Oryctolagus cuniculus: one gene and its partner. The protein of the gene in region 2 binds, or shares a complex with, the protein of the main gene of each other region. Links are inferred from orthologs where the notes say so. Each region holds a gene or a part of one and is shown on either strand. Other genes may lie near its edges.

Region 1 (3,651 bases), on a different chromosome or scaffold from region 2:
ACAGAGGAACACGGGGGGTTTTCTGATGGGATCAGGAAGGGAACCCTGAGGACAAGGCTGGCGGCCCGTGGGCCTGGAGGCCGAGCCAGAGGAGACGGCAGGCGATGGCCGTGCTCTGAGTGCTGCCTCTGCACCAGGTGTTGCGGAAGCCACCAGAAGTAGGCAGACGCTGGGGCCTCGCATTTGCTCAAAGACATTGCTCCTGGGGCCATGGTGCGGCGAGTGCGGTTCGGGCGGGCTGGTACGGAAGCGCCGTGGAAGCCTCAGCATGGGGTTGGGCGCGGTGGGGAGCGCAGTCGGGAGGTATCTGGAGTGGTACGGTGAGGCTCCGTCATCGCTGTGGTCAGGTGCAGGTGGAGGCAGGGCTGGTTTCTGTGGGCTCCTGGAGGGACCTCTGAGGCATCCTGGTGGAGGTGACGGGCTCGGTAGAGGGCTAAAGAGATGGCGTGGGTGCTCCGGCACACGGGTGAGACCCCTGGCCCGGGCAGCTACAGAAGGTGGCAGGGACGACTGGGGAGGACAGTGGGGGAGGAGCCTCTGAAGGGATGAATTGGCAGCACCGGGCACGGGCACGGCCGCTGCCCATGGGTAGCAGTGCAGCAGGGGGGGATGGGGACAGGCAGTTGCTGGTGCGGCAGCTTCTGGGCGAGTGCCGCAGGGCCTCTTCCTGTGTTTCTGTCGTCTCACTCTCGGCAGGTAAACCTGCCTGCCTGGCACGAGCCGCAGCAGGGCCTCACCCTGGTGGCCGCTCCAGACAGCTCCTCTTCACCGAGGAGTGGCCTGGACCAGCTGTGCTCTCGTGTTGTATGTGGCTGTGCATTCTGTCAGCTTTTCTTTCTTTTTTAAAGATCCATTTATTATTCATTTATTTATTTATCTATTGATTCAAAAGGCAGAGTGGCAGATTGAGAGGGATAAAACAGAGACAGATCTTCCATCTGCTGGTTCATTCCCCAAATGGCCCCAACAACCTGGGCTCAGCCAGGCCGAAGCCAGGAGCCAGGAACTCCAGCCTGGTCTCCCATATGGTGGCAGGGGCCTAAGCGCTTGGGCCATCTGCCGCTGCTTTCCCAGGCACATTGGCAGTGAAGCTGGATTGGAAGTGGAGCAGCCGGGACTCCTACTGGCGCCCATATGGGATGCCGGCGCTGCGGTGGCGGCTTTATCTGCTGCACCTCAATGCTGGCCTCTCTGTTGCTGATTCTCCTGACTTAGCTCAGAGCTGCTGTAAGCTGGCGCCTTCTTGGTCCAAGCCCATGGAGAGAGGGCCCCATGTGTACGTGCACTCCTAGCCTGCAATGCTCCCTCCCAGGTGTGGCAGCTGATGCAGCCTCTGTGTAGGTGTGAACCCAGGGTCGGACCACTGGGCGGGGAACCAGTTTGCAGTCACTGACAACCGTTTTCATCGCGTATATTTTCTTTTTTAAAAGACTTATTTATTTGAAAGGCAGAGTTACAGAGAGGCAGTAAGAGAGACAGACAGACAGGTCTTCCATCCACTGGTTCACTCCCCTGCCACATGGCCATGACCGCTGGAGCTGGGCCAATCTGAAGCCAGGAGCCAGGAGCTCCTTCCAGGTCTCCCACGTGGGTGCAGGGGCCCAAGGACCTGGGCCATCTTCTGATGCCTTCCCAGGCCATAGCAGAGAGCTGGATCGGAAGTGGAGCAGCTGGGACTTGAACCGGCGCTCATGTGGGATGCCAGCTCTGGATGTGGTGGCTTTACCCAGTATGCCACAGCACTGGCCCCCATCACGTACATTTTCTTAGATTTCACGTGCTTTTTCCCCCCTTTGCTTCTTCATTTTTAGTTACTGCCAACCCTGTGAGAAGATTAGGTTTTCAGTAAATCTCTCTCTTGTGCTTTTGCCAGCAGTCAGATCTTCCGGTGGCAGGTGGCAGGTGAATAGTTACTCATTTGAAAGCTTTTCTGCACTACTGCCTGCTCAGTGAAGCAGAGGGTGGGCCCGGTATCTTACAGCTGACCTCAGGATGTGTTCGTGTCTTTTAAAAGCACTTTGGTGAGAGCGTGCCGCTCAGTTCTGATAGGCACCTGTCACCTGTCCCGGACAGCGGACACACGCTCTATTAGCAAAGCTCATCCGGTTCCCAGGGGTGCCTCTGCCTACCAGAGAGGTTGGCAAGGAAATGGCTCGGTCTGTGGTGCCTACCAGATGGAGGCTGGAGCCAAGGCTGGCCTGTATCTGGCACAGACCTGTCCCAGGGCTCCCACCTTGCACCACATGCTGTCCTAGGCCAGAGGGTACAGTAGAGGAAGCAAGGGGGACAGGGACAGTAAATAGGCAAACGGACAGAGCAGTTCTGTGTGTGGAGGCACCTTGGGGACAATGCTAAGTGCTTTTATTTATTTCAAATTTGTGTTAAGGATCTATTTGTTTATTTGAAAGGGAGAGACAGATTTCCCATCTGCTGGTTCACTCCTCCAGTGGCTACATTAGCTGGGGCTGGGTCAGACTGAAGCCAGGAGCCCAGAACTGTCTTCCACCCCCTTCACAGGCGCATCAGCAGGAAGCTGGACTGGAAGCCGAGCAGCTGAGACTCGAACCAGCAACCTGATGTGGGATGCTGGCCTTGCACGCAAGCAACTTAACCCGCTTTGCCACAACACCAGCCCCTGCCTGTTTTTAAAATTTTTGCTGATTTTTGTTTATTTGAAAGGCAGAGAGAGAGAACCCACCTGCAGGCCCACACCCAAATGTGTAGAACGCAATCCCTGTCTTCCATGTGGGCAGCAGGGACCCGAGCCCTGAAGCCGTCACCTGCTGTCTCCTTAGCAGGAAGTAAATCAGAAGCGGAGCCAGGACTGCGCTCTAGCCAGGCACTCGGATCTGGGACAAGGGCTCGCTGTGCCGTGTCCTGACGCTGCGCCGGATGCCTGCTCCGGGTGTCCATACAGCCATCAGGGGTTCTTGTCTCCCTGCAGGTCGTGGCCGCCCTCCCACAGAGCCTCTCCCCGACGGCTGGATCATGACGTTCCACAACTCCGGAGTCCCTGTGTACCTGCACAGAGAGTCTCGGGTGGTCACCTGGTCCAGGCCGTACTTCCTGGGAACGGGAAGCATACGGGTAGGGGAGACATGAGTCGCACTCCCAGGCTTGTGCACCATGCGCCTGCTGCTCTGTGGTGCCACGCAGAGGCTAACAAGAGGCCTTGCGTTTCTGGATTGACGGGGTCGTCCTTACACTTCCTGTTGCCATCTCGCTGTCCGCAGAAACACGACCCTCCTCTGAGTAGCATCCCCTGTCTGCACTACAAGAAAATGAAGGACAATGAGGAACGGGAGCAGAGCAGCGACATCAGCCCCAGCGGGGAGGGGTCCCCCGCCAAGCCCCTGAGCCGATCCGCGGAGCTGGAGTTCCCCCTGGAGGAGCCCGACGCCATGGGCACCGACTCGGGGCCCCCAGATGAGAAGGACCCCCTGGGGGCCGAAGCGGCCCCCGGGGCCCTGGGGCAGGTGAAGGCCAAAGTTGAAGTGTGCAAAGATGAATCGGTGGGTAAGTTCCCGAGAGTGGTCCTCCCTTGTCCCTGGCGGTGTCTGTGTGTGTCCCAGGCTCTGCGTGGCTGGGCTCCTTGGGCACAGTGCACGTGGCCCCAGCCCTTTCTCTTTGCTTGCCCATCTGACTCCTAAA
Region 2 (3,505 bases):
CCACTCTGCCTGTCAAAAAAAAAAAAAAAAAGAAACAATGGAGAGGTCTTCTCTCAAATGTGTCCGTCCTCCAGGATCTATGTGGCAGCACTGTCCATGAAAGTGGGAACCACATGTTAAACACACTTGAGTGCCTGTGCAGACATACGTATGTGCACAGAAGGCCTGACAGGGTAGACAAGTCCTCTGGGTGATGCAATCATGAGTGATTTATTTTTCTGGTTATGTGTTCTTCCTATCCCTCGATGGTAAAGGTGTCATTTGTTTCTTTTTCCTGTTAACAAAAGTAATAACACTGTCCGAATCTTCTACAATGCACAGCTCTGCAGGCAACAGTCTCCCGTATACCTGAATGACTCATTCTGGTTCAGAGCATACTGCACCCACCCAGCTCCCCGCGTTGGTTCCCCTGAGGGTATTGCTGCAGCACACAAGCTCCCGAGGGCACTGTGTTTTGTCTCTTATGTCCACCAAGGAGTCCCAGAGCCTAGAATGGTGCCTGATACACAGTAGGCCCATGTCGTGCTTGCAGAAATAATGGATGAAAACACAGTTGTGTTACAAAGTTTTGCCTTTATTAATAACAATGATGTTTAATTTAAAATAATGTTTCACTTTAAATGTTACATCTTTGATGTAATGTTAGCCCTTTTCTGCAGGGGTCACTTAGAAAAGCTGATCAAAGTGCCGACCCCTCCTCTACTTGCTCCCCCCTCCCCAAGTCCCCACCAGGCACATACAATTGAATAGCATTTCATGAGGTTCTGAGACATCCCTGCAGTCTAAACTTCATAGAGGGCCTGCTGACTCCAGGTTTAAAGGGGGGTCTGACTCAGAATCATGGCTGCTTCCCCATTCCAGTGATTCAAAGAACATGTGTGACTCAAACATCAGTCCTCCCCCGCGCCTATTAGCCACTTAAACCTTAAACAGATTCCTTCCACAAAGGACTCACTGCTTGGAAAGTGGTAAATTCAATATATGCAGCTGAGAACTTGACAAACATCCAGATGAAAGCTGAAAATCTAGCAAATAATCCAAAGATTTCTAGAAGGGAGTCAAAATACCTGACAAAGTGAATTTTTCACTTCTCAGCTGAAAGTCTGGGCTCACAATCTGAGACAGTGAGAAAATACAGGATCTATTCCAAGGACAATATGCTTTCTTGAATTTTATTGTTCGAAAGCAAAATAAAAGGGAAAAACGCATACCCACCGAAGTCAAGTTTTCCATTAAACAGAAGAGAAATAAAACACTTTGTAACAAAGACCATCCAGCTAACAACAGAATATTAGACCAGTAAAACAACAATGGTGATTTGACACTGGGTTTTATTTCAATGGGCACACTTCATTCATTGTCTGCAGGAAAACTAGGCTAGGTCTCAATGGGCAGCAGTCACAGTTATTAGGCAAGTAAACACACCACCAGTTCCGTGCCCTCCTTTATTTCTTTATGTCTTCAGTCTCATCTGGCTCCCGCTCTTGATGCTCTCTTTCCCACCTCATTTCTTTTAACTCTTGTCTGTATTTCCGTTCAATGAACCGCTTCTGATGGGCCATCTGGGGAAAGTTATCTGGCACAAGGAGATATATTTTACACTTATTAAAGGGTAGCCACTAGTGCAAAGAATGATGCAAACCAAATATCTACACATGCAAACACCAACTTCTGTGACAGGTATACAGTTGAATTTTGTAAGACAAGAGAAAAAAAAAAGCCTCATTTTATTCCATAGTTCTTTTGTGATTCAGAACCCACTGGTAGTCTGGACTGGCCAATTCTAGATTTCAATATCTAAGGTGAACCTGAGAGAGAAAAGGCACTAAATCATAGATGTATGATGTTGGAATGTTTCCAACCAGGTGCATTAACATGTTTCTCCTAGCAACAAGTGAGTTTCAAGAAAAAATGAAAGGATGCCATAAAATACAGTTGCACATCTTTGAAGGGCTCAAATAAAAAACCCAAACAAATAATGGTATTATCACACCATTATTTACCAAGTTTCTGATTTACCAAGAAAGTTTCTGACAAAAGCAAAAAAAAAAAAAAAAAAAAGAAAAGAAAAAAAAAAAGATCAGATAGACAAAAGGAGGCCACATTATAATTTATTGTTTGATAATTCACCCTATTTGTAAAGTCTGCCCTAAAAGGCTGAAAGCTATACTGCACAAGCAACTCGAGTAGAGAATTTGATTCAATTAAAGGAAACATTGCACTCCATGACATAGGTTAAGTTATATTTAGTTTGAGATTGACCCCGCGCAACACTGTTGACACAATGGAAGTCTTCACTAAGACTGAGAAATTTCACAATTTCATTGTCATTTGCTGTGTAACTTTCATGTAGCAGTGAAGAAAGAAATCAAGTATGGAACTAGAAATAACCATTTCTGTATACCTGGTCAACAAACACCTACTTAAACAGACAGCATCCCATATGGGTGCCGGTTTGTGTCCTGGCTGCTCCTCTTCCTATCCAGCTCTCTGCTATGACCTGGGAAAGCAGCAGAAGATGGCCCAACTGCTTGGGCCCCTGCACCTGCATGGGAAAACTGAAGAAACTCCTGGCTCCTGGCTACAGATGGGCTCAGCTCCAGCCATTGTGGCCATCTGGGGATGGAAGACCTTTCTCTCTGTCTCTTCCTCTCTCTGTAACTCTACCCCTCAAAATAAATAAAAATATATTTTTAAAAAGGGATGCATACATGGGTAAGAACTACACACACTGCCTTCGAGCACAAAGAGAAAAATGATACTATTTATCGGATAAAGGGCTATTCAAACACAAGAAGAACCAGAGATGGGTGGAGACATGACATGTTTGGGGAAAACAAGTTTGTTTTAAAGGTGAGGTATAATGAAAGTGGATCTGTACATATAGCATGCTCCTACATTATTTCCCCCTTCCCCTTCTAATGGAGTGTCCCTTCCTCATCCCAGGCTGAAGGGCCAGGAACACGGTAGTAGAAAACATATCTGAAAGACAGTCAATCAGGAAAACTCTTGTATGCCTGAGAGTCAGTGATTATTAAACAAAAGAGAAACATGGCATCTATATTACTTCTGAAATAAAATTACCTCCTAAATACATTGATACCTCACATGTTGTGTAAATCATAAGTTTCAAACACTGCAAGTACTTTTTCTAAAAAAATTAAAAAAATAATAAAAATAAAAATAATGCAGCAAGTTTCTATAAAATGGACCCTATTGCCTCAGGAAATTTCACTATAAAATTCATTTTGCATTTAAAAGAAACTCATTCTCAGCTCTAACTACTGATAATCTTTCAGGATATATCCTTACAGCCTATTTCCTAAGAGGTAAAGTCATACTATATATATATATATATATATATATACACACACACACACACACACACACACACATATATATATAAATGTAAATGTATATGTATATTACATAGATGTATAAATATTTAAAAATCATCCCACCATCCACTCTTACAGTGCGGGAGTACAATATATAGGTGTGTATC

The links.
Region 1: the proteins of DROSHA (region 2) and DGCR8 are in contact, whole or in part, in a crystal structure (PDB 5B16), measured with the Homo sapiens proteins. The link is inferred for Oryctolagus cuniculus from reciprocal best matches to the Homo sapiens genes DROSHA and DGCR8. Residues at the interface, in NP_001369437.1 of Homo sapiens: Leu984, Leu987, Phe988, Thr998, Tyr999, Thr1001, Ala1002, Ile1003, Gln1005, His1008, Phe1069, Asp1073, Leu1074, Glu1076, Val1077, Trp1078, Asn1080, Pro1082; in NP_073557.3 of Homo sapiens: Asn728, Ile731, Leu732, Lys734, Leu735, Gln736, Glu738, Met739, Lys740, Leu742, Ala743, Arg746, Arg750.

The regions. Positions count from the first base shown.
Region 1 is NC_091452.1:27,757,971-27,761,621, forward strand, and holds part of DGCR8 (microprocessor complex subunit DGCR8), read left to right. Parts: intron 1-2,944; coding exon 2,945-3,087; intron 3,088-3,233; coding exon 3,234-3,516; intron 3,517-3,651.
Region 2 is NC_091445.1:57,616,468-57,619,972, forward strand, and holds the end of DROSHA (ribonuclease 3), read right to left. Parts: intron 1,577-3,505; coding exon 1,446-1,576; 3' UTR 554-1,445; downstream 1-553. UniProt on the Homo sapiens protein: Ribonuclease III double-stranded (ds) RNA-specific endoribonuclease that is involved in the initial step of microRNA (miRNA) biogenesis.